Linked DNA regions of Oryctolagus cuniculus. The protein of the gene in region 1 purifies or fractionates together with the protein of each later gene. This does not show direct contact. Links are inferred from orthologs where the notes say so. Each region holds a gene or a part of one and is shown on either strand. Other genes may lie near its edges.

Evidence for each region.
Region 2: the proteins of FBXW7 (region 1) and FMR1 purify together in Homo sapiens (affinity purification with mass spectrometry, with the first as the bait; 3 studies listed by BioGRID). This does not show direct contact. The link is inferred for Oryctolagus cuniculus from reciprocal best matches to the Homo sapiens genes FBXW7 and FMR1.

Annotation. Positions count from the first base shown.
Region 1 is NC_091439.1:11,996,621-12,004,398, reverse strand, and holds the start of FBXW7 (F-box/WD repeat-containing protein 7), read right to left. Parts: upstream 4,204-7,778; 5' UTR 3,685-4,203; intron 1-3,684. UniProt on the Homo sapiens protein: Substrate recognition component of a SCF (SKP1-CUL1-F-box protein) E3 ubiquitin-protein ligase complex which mediates the ubiquitination and subsequent proteasomal degradation of target proteins.
Region 2 is NC_091453.1:126,458,924-126,466,601, reverse strand, and holds part of FMR1 (fragile X messenger ribonucleoprotein 1), read right to left. Parts: intron 5,616-7,678; coding exon 5,445-5,615; intron 5,355-5,444; coding exon 5,276-5,354; intron 1-5,275.

The DNA of each region.
Region 1 (7,778 bases):
GCGGGTTAAAGCCCTAGCCTGAAATGCAGCATCCCATATGGGCACTGGTTCGAGTCCCAGCTACCCCAATTCCGATCCAGCTCTCTGCTGTGGCCTGGGAAAGCAGTAGAAAATGGCCCAAGTCCTTGGGCCCCTGCACCCACGTGGGAGACCAGGAAGAAGCTCCTGGCTCCTGGCTTCAGATCAGCACAGCTCTGGCCCTTGCAGCTATCTGGGGAGTAAAACAGCAGATGGAAGATCTCTCTCTCTCTCTCTCTAACTCTGTCTTTTAAATAAATAAAATAAAGATTAAAAAAAAAAAAAAAAAAAAAAGGAAATCCAGCAGCCAGGACTCCAGTGCTCCCATATGGGATTCCAGTGTCCCAGGTGGTGGCCTAACCCACAACACTAGTCCCTACTCCTCCGTTTTTGACTCAATTCTCATTCATTTTTTTTCTTAGTTTTTTATTTATTTGAGAGACAGAGTTACAGAGAGAGAGGAAGGTCTTCCATCCACTGGTGCACTCCCCAAATGGCCACAAAGGCCAAAGCTGGACTGATCCAAAGCCAGGAACCAGGCGCTTCTTCTGGGTCTCCCATGTGGGTGCAGGGGCCCAAGGACTTGGACCATCCTTTACTGCTTTCCCAGGCCATCAACAGAGAGCTGGATTGGAAGAGTTGCAGCCAGGACAAGAACTAGCACCCATATACGACGCTGGTGCTGTAGGCAGAGGCTTAGCATACTAAGCCACAGCACCAGCTCCTTCACATCCACTTTTAAAATATTTATTTTACGCAGAGTCTCATCCATGCCCTGTTCTTGCTACATCTCCATTTACTTTTACAGATTTTCCCCTCACGTGAAAACATTTATTTTTTCAGCTCCTCCCTCCCCATCAGGATTCTCATAACCCTAAATATAAAAATGACACCCAATTCCACATTTTCAGCATATCACTTGTTAAACTATTTCTGTTGTCTTGAAACTGCATCGGTATTCAGTTTTAACCCTAAAATTTGATGTTCAAAACAAAGTATGGTACCCTATTTCTAAATTCTTTTTTATAAATACCACTAGCACTATATCAAAATACTGGAAACATCTTCTTTTTCACCATTCCTTCTGTATAGCCTTAATTTCCCTGGAAAAACAAAATCCTAATCCAGGCACAATACCTTTGCTCTTAAATGTTATTTCTACCCAATCATCTCAGGAATACTGTTCTCAACTGCTTCTTGGGTCTTTAACCATGCCCCTACACAAACTCTGACTTTAACCCCACTCAACAATCTCCCTCTGTCAGTATTGCCACCAGACTACCTACCTAACGACATCTGTGCCTTATACCTTCCAATTCCAAAAGTCTTAAATTCCACAAACTCTTTTCTTCCTAAGAGATCTTCCCAGATTTGGTTCAGACACCCCAAGTTGCTCTGAAACCAACATTTCCCTAACAAAAAAAAATTACATTCACTTCCTATCAGGTATCAAACACCACCAGCACCCCATTCCCACCCCCAAGGTGGGAGGGGAGATTTCATGTAGAAGTTTAACCCCCAAAATCATATGGCAGCAATACTAAGAGGGTGGGAACTTGATTCAACTATGCTACAGAGGGTAAACCCTGGGAGTGAAATACAAACAGCTGTGCTCACTGCCGCCTCTGGCAGCAGCATGCTCTGCCAACAAGAAAGCCACCATCAGAGGAGCCCCCAGACCTAGCACCTCCAGAGCTGTGAGCCAAAATAAGTCTCTCCTTTAAAAAGCAGCCTGCTTGTTAGCAAGAACTGGATAATGCAATGGCACACGTGGTGGTCTCAGATTAATACCGGCCTGTTCTCCTGTAGTCTTGTTCCATTTGTATAACTGTCTCTTCCACCCCTAAGTAAAAGTGCTTCAAAGGCAGAGACCCCCAATACTTCCTCATTTCTACCCAAATACATATTAAAATATTACCATCATTCTTAACTTATCTATAGTGAAAGCAATCAAAATAGGTCCTAAACTCGGCATTATCCACAAACTTTGCTTTGTTGGTTTGTCCTCTCTCCTTCCCAAAAAGCTGTCTATGTAAGACCAGCTTTTTCTCTGGTCCATCTGTGAGAAACAGAAAAGGTGACTTACTCGAAGTCACAAAAGATGACACATCCAGAGATACCTGGCTGCTTCTAAATCTAATATTCAATCCACTATGCAACGTTTTATGTCGGTACCCACTTAGAACAGACTTCAAGGTTCCTTACAAAAGCGTAATGAGAACAAGGCACCTACAGAAAAACAAATGCTTGGAGAAGGTCCAGAGAAGGGCAGTGGTCAAAGAAATGGAAGAAACAGTTCTCAGACAGAAAGCTGGGGGGAAATGATGGCAAACAAGAATAACCAGGCAAGAAACCTGGGGTTATTCTAGTATTTCTCAAAACGCAAGCTCTTAAGTGATGCATCTTTTAGCCTAAGGAGGTAAGTTTGGGATACATGCATGAATTCTTACATCAGACAGAGGCTAATAAATCTGCAGAACTTATTACTTTAAAAAAGAAGTGGTACAGAGTCAAAACATTAAGTCTGAAAAGGTTTTTTTAAAAATTTCATCGGGATCCTGAGTGGAGAATTTAGGGTGGATAACCCCGGGCATACATTCATTCCCACAAAGCATCTCTCAGCAATGACTTCAGAAAGGCCATCCACAGCTACTGGTCTGGAGGCACCATAACTCTCACTATAGAACTGTCTGGGTCTAGTTACCTAAAATTCCCCCCTGATGCCTAACCCTCCAGGTCTGTATACATGAAATGCTAACTACTTCTGTGTACCTCTAACTTGGCACGCTGAGGGGACATTTGAAATCGAGTCAAAGATTTGAGAGACTTCAACTTTAAAATAATGCAAGGAAAAGCCATTCTTGTAAGAATTATGGCTTCATAGGTTCCTCCTAAATCGTTAAAGTAAAGCTAAATCAAACAACAAAGTCTCAACCCATTCTCCCAATAAAACAGTGCTGTCATTTATAACCTGTTACTCAAAAAAGAGAGAGAGAGAGAGACAGAGGGCACATGTGGGATTTGGGTGGAAGAGTAACAACCTATATAAAATGGTTTATGCAGTAAATGCTCTGCCTCAAATAAGCTGTGATTCCTAAGAAGCCAGAATTTCCCCAGTAACTGCGATCTGTTAAAGTGTCCTCCTGACATGCAGAGGAACTGGACGCAGGAAAAGAGAAGGTTAAAAACTTCTGTACTGAGAGGTATGGAAATGAAACCCGGGCTTCCCCTCGAGGTAGCCTGCGAACAAATCAAGGAACTGGACTTTCAGAGGTGCACGGGGGAACCCACGGGAGAGGTCCTCCCCTACACAAAACTCCTCCGGCGCCATCCCACAGTCCCTGCCACCAGGAAAAGGGCGAGCACAGCGATGTCCTTTGTGTGCACGCCTGCTCTGCCTTCCTCGACTTCCCTTCTGCCAACTCCTGCCCGGAGAGGTGCAATCTTTCCCACTCCGGAAGAGAACACAACTAACTCCTCCTTGGAGAAACCTGCACGCTTGGCATTGCTCGTCCAAGCTCAACGGCAACAAACCCCAGAGCCGTCCTGTGCGAAGAAGGGGCGCACACACACTCCCCGCGCCGCTGGAAAACATCTGCACAAACCTCTGCGGCATCCTCCCGCCCCCGGCCCCCCCCTCGGCCCCTCTCCGGAAGGACCACTCACACTTTAGAGAAGAGCCGTGGCGCTGAGAGAGCGGGCTGGTTCCCTTCCTGCTCCGGACTGCGGCAGGCTCCGGCGCGCTCGCTACAGAGGAAGAAGCGATCGCTGCTCGTGTCGCCCAAGCAGGCGGCCACCCGGGTCTCTTCCGCGCCGCCGGGGTGGGGGGAGAGGAGGCGGCGGCCCCGATCACCTCTTTTCCTCTTCCTGGGTCTCTTCAGGCTGTGATTTCTGCCCGTCCAGGGCCACTGGTCCCGGGACAGTCACGTCTGGGAGGCTCCAGAATTTGTTCTTATAAAAGTTTCCTCTGGGTGGAGGCTGCGGCCGGCCCCCCGGATCCCCCCCGGCCCCGCCGCCCTGGGGGCTGGGGCGGGGGAGGGGGCTCTAAGAACTCCTCCCGGAGTCCGGGCCGAGGAGCCGGGGGGCCGGCGACAGGCCGAAGGAAAAGACCCCCTCCCCCCGGAGGGGGCGAAGGGGAAGGGGTGGGTGAGGAGAGGACGGCGGCGCCGGTCCTGCTCTGCCCGCCGCCCCAGCCGCCGCTTCACATTGGGGTCCCCGCCCCCCCGGCCGGGGGGTGGTGGCTGAGCTCGGGGCCCTCCCGGCTCATACACTCCGGGGCAAGATGCTACGGCCCCGTGCGGGTGGCCGAGACGGCCGCGAGGCTGGGGACCCGGCCGGCTCCGCTCGGCGCCGCCCCCGCTCCCGGTTCCCGCATGTGTCGCTGCGGCTGGGACCCCCCTCCCTACACCTCGGGGGTCCCTCGCCCCTCGCCCCGGGACGAGGCAAAAGCTCCGGCCCCCGGCTCAAGGTCCTCTCACGGCGGAGCAGCTCCCAAGTCCCGGCCCGCCGCGGGAGCCGTCTCCCTGCCCCCCAGCCGCCGGCTCCGGCTCGGGCTCCGGCTCCGGCTCCGGCGTGTGCAGCCGCCGCCGCCGGCCGGGAAGGTGAGGGGGGGAGAGGAGGGCGGCCGCGGCTCTCGCTGGCCCAGGTTGGGGCCGAGGTTCTCGGCGGCGGCCACGGCACGGGGGCTGGGTCCTCCGATGCTCCCTCGCTCTCACTCTCTCGGCGGCGATCGCAGTAGCGCCGGAGCTCTGCTCGCTGTCTCCCTCGCTCTGTGCGGGGCTCTCGCCTCACTCCAGAGAGAGGGGCGGGAGGAGAGCGGCGCCGACCGATGACGCAAGTCACCTAGCAACCGCTCTCCTCTCCCCCTCCCTTTCCTTTCCGCTCTGAGGCTTCCTCGCTGGCCTTTTTTTTTTTTTCTTCCCTTTCTAGCCACCCCGCCCTGGGCGACTCCGGCGCGCTCTGATGACGCTCGAAGGGAAGAGGAAGTCGGGGAGCCGGGAGCGGGTGGGTGCGCCTCGGGCCGCGGTACTCGCTGCTGCCGCCGCCGCCACCACCGCGGCCGCCTCTACGGCCGCGTCAGAACTGAAGAGAGGAAGGGGAGGAGCCGAGCGGAGCCTGAGCTGCCGCCTGAGCTTACCCCTGACCCGAGGGCGGCGGGGAGAGCTCGCTCTCTAGCGGGTTCCTTCGGGGCAGGTGGGGACTGCTCCTTTGGGAACCGGGGGAAGGCCCAGGCCCGGGGGCCAGACTCCCGCGCGCACCTGCCGAAGGTGAGGCATCTGGCCCTGAACAAGCCCTCGAAAAAAGCCGGCCTGGTCGAGAAGTCCTGCACAGCCCGCTTCGTTGCACCTGCTCCAGCGAGCGGGCGCCCCACCCTTCCTGGAGCGCGGGGTGAGACCCGGCGCCGGATAACGTGTGGTCAGACCGAGCCAATGTTTGACGAATGAATGAGGGAGACTCGCAGCTTGAGACTTCGGTGAAAAGGGAGGCTGGTTGCTGGGGCGGGGGAAGGGAACCATGCTCCGGGAGACTGGGGAAGGATTTTTTGACTGTTTTGCAAGGGCAGAACTTAGCAGTGCCTCGCTGCCGGGAATCACTTTTGCTTTTGGCTTAGAGCTTTGGAGAGCTGCTCTTGGTGGTTCAGCTTTGTCCATCACCGTCATCTAAAAAAGTGTGTGTTTCAGGTCTGAATCAAAAGCTAGTTATTCCCTTCCTGAAATAAATATTAGTATTATGCAGCTCATCCTGCAAATGCTGTCCTGGGAAGTACATCCAGCTGAAAATGCATAAAGTTTAAGGTGGAGTTCTCTAGAAAAAGGCTGGACCCTGCCCCGGGGAGTGGTGTGCGAATGAGGTACAGCAGCAGTGATGATGAAAGGAAGCAGACTCCACAGTGGGTCTCTGGACCGTGGCCCACCTTACGTCTGCGAGCAGCAGCTGTGCATGTATTGCTCTTTCTACCTTAGGGAGAATCGCAGTAAACGTACCATAGACAGATCTAAGAAGCTCCGTGTTTCTGCCGCTACGGCCACCACCATATGCAAACCGTAAATGGAGGAACACTTTAACTGGGTAAATCCAAGGTTTCCTATTAAAATGCTGCAGGGAGCGGGGAGGGGGTGTCGGATACTGCAGAAGTGAGGCTGGAAAAGCAGCACCTGACCCTCCTGCTGCCCTTGACCTGAAATTCCAAGAACCACGTTAAATGCCCTGCCTTAATTACCCTGTGTTTTTACCAGACCCAAACCTCTGCTCCATCCCTCCAAGTAAGAGACAGGGCATGGGACCTACAAGCAATGCCCTATGTGGTTACAATGTAAATCATTCTGGTCTTCTTCCCCCTCCCCTGTTGTATCTCAGGGAATGGTGGAAAATTAAAGAGGTAAACACAAATCTAAGGGATTTTATGTGAGAGCCTCAGCGTTTAAGCTTTGTAAGCTCTGAACGAAAAGAGCACTCAAACCTCAGAGCCCTGCCACCCAGCAGAGAGGACCTGCAGAAGAGTGTGTACAGCCTACGGCTTCTCACCAGCCTGGTCTCTCTCCATTGCCAGTGGCTTTCCCTTAGAACCTGAGCACTGACCGACAGAATGGCACTCAGTGGAGCCCTGAGCCACCCACCTAGGAGCTAACAGGTGTGCTTAGCTCAGTGAGCAACATCCACCCAACTCACCATGCAGCTTGACAACACAAGGAAATAGCTGGAAACTGGCCCCCAAAGTGGGGGCCACACATTGCCAACTTGGCCTGCGTCCGTTTAGTTCCTTGTATGGTTTATTAATCCAGAAGGGAAGATGCTAGTTACTTCAAAATAGCAAAACATTGCGAAGTTTTAGGTAACAGTTCTTTCTCTTGTTCATCATTTTATGATAAAGATCCACTTACTATGTGGAAATATAACAAAGGGATATTAGTATAGCATTCTTGACTGCTGCACTTGAAATTGAGCTCTTTTGAGAAACTAATCTGTGTTTTTTACTCTATATGTTTGGTTTTTACTGTCAGACTGCACACGAAATTATGTAGCAACTTTTTTTCCTTCTAGCACTGCCATCTACAATGTATCAGTTATGTTTAGCATTTTTATTATGAAATATGCCTTAAATGCATAAAGCAATTTTATACTATAATGAGTAATTTTAAAGAAAGCCACCCATCAATCAGCTGAAGAAATGGAATAGTGCAGGCACCCAAAAAGCCTCACCTGGTGACTTTCTACCTGTCTCCTACAGGTAGCCATTATTCTGACTTCGGTGAGAAATCATTTCCTTGCTTTTCTGTATTGTTTTGTCACAGACGTGCTACATCCTTAAGCGATATAATGCTTAATTTTCTCTATTATTTTGAATTTTATGTGTAAACACATCGACATAATGTATAATCCGTGTGCCTGCTTTATTTGCTCAGCACTGCTTTTAATCCAGATGTCGTTCAGGTCATTGGTGTCGCTGTCATTTGCTCATTTTAATTGCTGGGTATAACAGTGTTTCATTGTGGCAATAAATGCCAATTTGTTTCTCTCTTCTATTGTCAGTGGGCAACTGGGTTGTTTCCAGTTTGGGGTTGTTACAAATGCGATTGTAAACATCCCTCAGGTATGTATTCCAGCACATCTGTATCAGTTTCCGTGTGGTATCCACTTGAGAATGGCTGCGTGTGTGACATAAGCGTGAATAAATACTACTGAACTGTCTTCTACAGTGATGTGCTCACCCCAGACGCGTGGATGTCCCATTACTGCCCACCTCACAGTAGTCTGTGCTG
Region 2 (7,678 bases), on another chromosome or scaffold:
TCTCTTAAATCTCCAAAGCTTTCAAGTACTAGAAACAAGTAAATAATTATTTTATCATTTTATAAAATTGAATCATATATACCTAAATAAGAGCCCAGTGAAAAAGGCCATCTCACAACAGGATCTTGTAACTTGTGACTCTTGTAATAAGAATGTAACTTGGGAACTCTTGCATGTATGGCTGGTTCAATCCCTTTATAACTTCTCTTGACTGGTTACTGGTCAGTGAACAGAACTGACACCACTAAATCAGGACTACTGATCTAAGTGCTTCTGTCAATTATTTCTGCTCTTTTCTTCAAATCAAAGGGTAGAGGGAGAGAAATTATCTGGAATCTTCCCATATTTTGCTTTCAGTCTACAACACATATTTTCATAAATTAATGATGATTTTAATGTTAACTACAGCTGACTGAATAAAGTAATTCACTATCATGCAATACTTCTTACGACAGCTCCATAAATAAAGATCTGGCTTGCCAAATCCTATAGAAAAACACATTCTGAAAAAAGTCCTGATGTTCCCAGTATTGTAGTGGACGATGCTGAAAACAGAATTCTGGTTTTACTGAACAGAAATGCAATGGTTTGAACAGGAACTAGGATGATTTATTTCAGCAAACTTTCTGGAGAAAGGCCGATTAATTCTGGGATCCTCTTTCCAGGTGGAATCCACTTTTAACATTTAAAAGATAATTCAATCCAATTATACATTACATAGTTATTTCCAAAGCCCAGTGGGCAATTTAGTACAATTCTGCTTTACAAAAAGTTTACACAAATAGATACATGGATAATCTTCCCATTTAATTATTACAACTCTGTGAGATGTATGCTATGATCATATTTGTTTGACAAGTGAAGAACAGAACACCAAGAGGAGCTAAAACAACTGGCAAAAGTCGCACAAATACTGAAAAATGAATGAAGTAAGACCAAAATCTAGATCTAACTCAAATGCCCAGGCACTTCCCTCTACAATCATGCCATACTACAAACTTCAATAAAACTGATAACAAGTTTCTGTCTGTTGGTAATTAAAAAAAAATCCATTCTATTTGAGCTAGGTTTTTTTGAGAAAAGTATTGTTTCTGGTGTTATGCTAATTGCATAGGAAAATGTTTATGATTTTACGAGGGGATCTTCAAAGAGTTCATAGAAAATGTATATTATTAAAAATTAGGCAAGATCTTCAACTTCTTTACACCAAAATAAATTTGTACTAACTTGCTATAAAATATCTGATCAGAATTTAGTTTGAGGCATTAAGAAGGATAAGACACAAATTTAAAGAGTCTTTATCAGAGCAACATGAATTCTGCTAAAACTGAGATACAAACATCAAATTCATGATGAAGTTTTTGGTGGAAGAATGGTGACATCACTGATGCTTTATGAAAGATTTGTGGGGATAATGTCCTAAAAGAATTAGAAATTTGGAAATGGAGAACTCATTTGAAAATGTTTTTTTCATCTACTTGAAAGGCAGAGTGACAAGAAAAGTATTTTCCATCTGCTGGTTTACTCCGCAAATGACTGCAACAGCCTGGGCTGTGCCAAAGCCAGAAGCCCAGAACTCCATCTGGTTCCCTCAAGTGGGTGGCATGGACCCAAGCACTTAATCCATTATCTGCTGTCTACCAGGATTCATGAGAAAGAAGCTGGATCAGCAGTGGAGCAGCCTGGACTCATACCAGCATTCGAAGTAGTGGCTTAAATCCACTGTGCCATAACATCCTCCCTAGGATAACTCACACTAAGAAGAAACAAGATGATGTTGAAAGATGAAGCCTACGGTGGTGGCAAATCATCCACATCAATTTATTTGTGAGGACAAAATTAATGTTATTCATGCTCTAGCTAGAGGATCAATGATGAACAACAAAAACAACAGCGAACACCACAGACTTAAATTGGTTCAGTTCCGGAGTTTGTGGTCACAAAAGGCTTCCATAGCCTTGGCAGCTCATGGCAAGAGCCTCGAGTGATTACTGACATCATACATAAGAGTGTTAATTGTTAAATTAACAACAGGAGTCACTGTGCACTTAAACCCCAATGTAGGACCTCTGTTCTCAATGAGTTGTACTATGAGAATTAACTGCAAAACTTGTTCTCAAACAGTACTTTATATGTTGTGTGTGTGTATGTGGGTGCAAACTGTTGAAATCTTTACTTAGCATAGAGTTGGTCTTCTGTATATAAAGTTAATTAAAAATGAATCTTAATGAAGAATGGGATGGGAGAGGGAGTAGGAGGGGGGAGGAGAGGGGCAATGGGAAGAACCACTATATTCCTAAAGTTGTACCTATGAAATTTGCATTCATTAAATAAAAGCTTTTAAAAAAAAGAATATCTGTGTTTTATACACAAAAAACATTACATATGGGGTATTTTACAGATGTTTGTCTTATTATTCCTGATACGTTTTTATATATAATGGTCAGGTATATGCAAAATACGTCAAAATAAAAACAAAACTTTAAAAATAAAAAAGGTTCAGTTTATACAACTCTTGACTCAAAAGTTAAAGGGCAGAGCCCTCAATGGAAATATGAAACAAGTGGCAGGGCTAGTGCTGTGGCACAGCGGGTAAAGCCGCCACCTGCAGCAGTGCCGGAATCCTATATGGGCGCCAGTGAAAGTTCTGGCTGTCCTGCCGTTCTCTGCTATAGCCTGGGAAACAGTAGAAGATGGTCCAACTCCTTGGGCCCCTGCACCTGCGTGGAAGACCCTGAAGAAGCTCCCGGCTTCTGGCTTCGGACCGGCACAGCTCCGGCTGTTGCGGCCATCTGGGGAGTGAACCAGTAGATGGAAGACCTCTCTCTCTCAGCCTCTGCCTCTCTGTAACTCTGCCTTTCAAATAAATACATTTTTTAAAAGAAACAAACAAGTGGCACTAAGATCCTGAAGCATTTGTTGGATGAATCATAAGAGGAGATGAAACATGGCTTTATTAGTATGGTTCTGACAACAAAGCACAATCAATGCAATGGTTTTCAAGAGGTAGAAATGGTCCAATCAAAGCAAAGAGACTGGTCAAGAACAAAGGTCATGACAACAGGTTTTGGGGTGCTCAAGACATTCTGCTTGTCAACTCTCTGGAGGGACAAAGAATGACAACAACATCTGCTTATTAAGAGTGCTTTGAGACAAAGTTTTAGCCAAAAAAACACCTTGGAAGCTTGACCAGTCTTTCTCCACCATGACAATGCGCCTGCTCATTCCTCTCAAACAAGGACAATTTTGTGAGAGTTTCAAAGGAAAATCATTAGGCATTCACTTCACAGTCCTAATTTCACTCCTTCTGACTTTTTTGTTTCCCAATCTTAAACCATCTTTAAAGGGCATCCAATTCTCTGCAGGTATATAAGATTTCACTGACATGGTTAAATTCTCAGTACCCTCAGTTCTTTAAGGGATGATATAAAATGGTTGATACCATTGCTTACAAAAGTGTTTCAAGCTTGATGGAACTCATTAAGAAATAAAACTTTTTTATTTTTATCTTTTAATTCCATTTTTTTACATGAAGTTCCCTTGTATGCTACCCAAAAGCAGGCTTAGTGGCACTGAAATTATGTAAACAAAATACATAGTAAGACCACACATCACTTTCTACAATCAGCCAAGATCTCAAGTAAAAAGATAAAAGGTATTGACAGGGGTCAGTGTTGTGGTGCAGTGAAAATAAGCCATTGCTTACAACAGCAGCATCCCATATCAGAGCGCCAGTTCAAGCCCTGGTTACTCTGCTTCTGACCCAGCTTCCTGCCTGGGAAGGCAATGGGAGATTATGTAAGCACTTGGGCCCCTGCTACCCATTTGGAAGTCCAGGATAGAGTTCCTGGCTCCTGACTCTGGGCTGGCCCAGCTCTGGCTACTGCAGCCATCTGGGGAGTGATCCAGTTACTCTGTCTTTCAAATACATAAATAAATCCTTTAAAAATGTATAGGTAGCATATTCCAATTCTATTTATAAACTAAAAACATAAAACCTATGTAGCTTTCTTGAGGAAAATACATCTGATTCTGACAAGATCTACTAAAGATACCAATACCACTTGGGAATATTGGTGAGAATTTCCTAGATATTTGCTGATATTCAAGGTGGTAATGGTCATGAAACAATACTCAAGTCAAAATGAAGAACTGCCATTGGCTTTGCAGGAAGTTTCAGAGACATCTGATATTAGGTACATTCAGATCTTCAACCTTGAGATAATTAAAATGATTTTTACTGGAGCAAGCATTGTGGCGTAGAGGGTGAAGCTGCCCCTGCAACACCAGCATCCCATATGGGTGGTGGTTCAAGTCTCAGCTCCTCCACTTGCAATCCAGCTCCCTGGTAACAGCCTGGGAAAAGCAGCAGCAGAGGGCCCAAGTGTTTGGGACCCTGCCACAATGTGAGAGACCTGGAAGAACCTCCTGTATCCTGGCTTCAGCCTGGCTCAGCCCTAGCTGTTGCAGCCATCTGGGGAGTGAACCACCAGATGAAGATTTCTCTGCCTCTATGTCTCTCCCTCTATATAACAGACTTTCAAGTAAATCTTTAAAAACATAAAATGAATATTATCACTTTATAGCACCATGAAGGAGATCAAATACCAATCTAGTCCAAATTAGAAAGTCTCCATTCATTTTGTAAAATCGTAAGATAAAGAGGCCAGCATTGTGGTAAAGTGGGTAAAGCCACTGCCTGCGATACTAGCATCCCATATTGGTACCATTCGGTGTCCTGGCTGTTCCACTTTCAATCCAGCTCCTTCCTAATGGCCTGGGAAAGCAGCAGAAGATGGTCCAAGTGTTTGGCCCTTCCCATCCACGTAAGAGCCCTAGAAGAAGCTCTAGGCTCCTGGCTTTGGCTTGGCCCAGCCCTGGCCCCTTGGGACCATCTGGGAAGCAAACAAGTAGGAGAAAGATATTTTTCTCTCTCTTCTTCTCCCTCCCCCTTATCTTTCTGTATCTCTTTTAAATAAAATAAATAATCTTAAATATATATAGAGCAAGAAGGATAAGTAAAATGTATCCTTTCAGGCATTAGTAGGTTTGATCTAGCAAAGCACTCTCTTTTGCACATCTTCTGAAAATATAATCTTTTGAGTATTACACTGATCAAACATTTTTGGTACACTATAGCAACAGACCATACTTTAAAAATCATATTTCAATTAAATAATACCCTTGAGTAAGGGGAAATGAATTTCCTTGGCATATACATTGTTTGTGTAAATTTTGTTTTTCTGGTACATGTTAACAGATATTTCTCACTCACCTACTAAGTTCCTTGGAACTTGTATGACATCTTCAGCAAATTCAAGAAAACTTCTAGCCTTTTTAACTGCATCTTGATCCTAATAAAAACAAGGGAAAGTTTGATGACAAAAATCAGCCAGCTGAAATACTCATTTGAGGTAGAAAAAATTATTTACCAAAATAATTACCTCTCCATAAATATGAAATGTGCAGGTATCTTCATCGAGATCAATAGCAGTGACCCCAGGTACTTTTCTAGCTTGCTGAATATTAGCACCATGAGTACCAATAGCTAGACCCATCAGATCTTCTCGTACAATAAACTGTTCATGAAACCTTGAGGCAAGCTGCCTTGAACTCTGAAGAGAAATGTATATCTGATGAATATGCTTCGTCAATTAATAAGACAATTGTAATCAGGTCAGCCATGTAAGTTATCATGACCCTGTATATCAGGGGCCAGTAAATTAGTTTCAGTAGAAAACTAATTTTGGAAACTATCTCCCACAGTGTAAATACTTTTTAGGTTACTTAATGTCTATACTATTTGATAAATTTTTGTTAATAGGAAAGAGCTTGTTGACAATTTTCCAAAGTTACTTTCAAAAACCTATTTGTAAGTCTGCTTTAGTTAAGTAATGACATCAACAACATAGTAACTAAGAAGCAGAATATATTATGCTCAAATAAAACCCAGCTCATTTGGTCTGACAGACTCCCTGTCACAATACATCTTTATAAAATTTTTTCTTATTTATTAAAGGATATAAATGTATGTTTTTTAAAAAGTGCTTTTTAATAATTTATCAATGGTACTGTGATCTAAGCATCTCTCTGATGAAGTGATGACATTAAAACCCTCTCTTCCTCCCCAAATTCAAGAAAGGAACCATAACATTTGTTGGTAGAGAAGTTAAAAATGAATGATCATAGATCATGTCAAAGATTTAAAAGGAATCCTAGTTTGCATCTGAAACCTAAAATAAGATCAGAGTCTGTAAGACCTAGTGATATAGATCCACGATTAAGTACAATGAGCTCTTTCAAACATTCAGTGGTGATGAAACTAAGTTACACTGCCACCCCAAACTTGTGGATAATCATGTTTAACAAGAGTATCAAAATTTCATGTTTAGTTCTAGCATGCTATTAATGAAAACCAAACATATTAGTGGCTCATGTTGAAAAATGCAAACTTCTCATAAAGTATATGTGGTTCTCTTTAATATTAGTAGTGACAAAAGATAGGCATGCATACTAGTCTCTCATTATTCAACGCACCTGGTAATTTGAATAAATGCACATATCTAGTATAAACAATTTTACAAATAAAACATCTTTTTATTAACTATAAAACATATGAAATACTCCTAGGAATTTCAAAAGGTCATATTTTTTGAGTCCTGGTTCATTAATCTGATTCATTCTTTTCATTGATACTTCATTGATAAATGATAAGCCAAAGATAAGATTACAGATCATTTAAGAATTAGATATGTAAGAGGAGGCATAGAAATATATTTCCTTTAATACTCACAACGAGCAAAGAGGCTGCTCTGCTCTAAAAGTTATGAGAGAATTGCTAAAGAAACCACAAAATTATGAACATAGGGACATTAAGAAAGAATGAAAGCAAAAACAATTAAATAAGACTCCCCATGGCCAGAAGGAAAACAAAGTAGCAAAAGGAGATTTAAATTTTTCCTCTCCTATTAAGAGTTCAGCACTCACACATCAAGTTGGAAGGCAGAAAATTTTACAGTGTAGCTTTGACTACCTTCTCCTTTAAAATGCAGTTTAGAACTCCTTTTTTTTTCTTTACTATTTCAACTGAATGATGTTGTTCCTCTATCAAAATGAATGATGAGGAACTCCTGAGTTTGACAGTAATATACTTCAGTTGGCACATTAAACTAAATCAAGTTTCTATGGCAATGGATGGACATACTAGATAGTTATCAATGAAAATAAATGTATGGTGATGGAAATTATTGGAGAATTAATAAAAGTAGATAAAATGCACCTTAAGAGACGAAATAGTAAGTTAGGGAAATAGCCTCTGCCAGGAATCTGAAGACAGGAGTTTTAAAGAGTGACAACCAATTAGAATGATGAAGTTCTATACCCTTTTAAACAGAGATAAACATACACAATGAAAGGAATGATTAGATATTTAAATACTCTCTAGTACTTTAATGATAACATTATATGGAAGAAATATTGCCTCATTTTATTAGCAGCTCTAACTTCTAGTAAAAGTGAACTGATTAGAAGCCCCTTAATATACATAAACTTCTACTTAATCTGGAAACCTTAGGCATGAAAACTTTAGTATGATTATGCTTTTGTACAATATTCTACTATAAAGAATTGTTAACAAATGATAAATAAATGCCAAACTTCCCCCTATTCATTTTGGAAC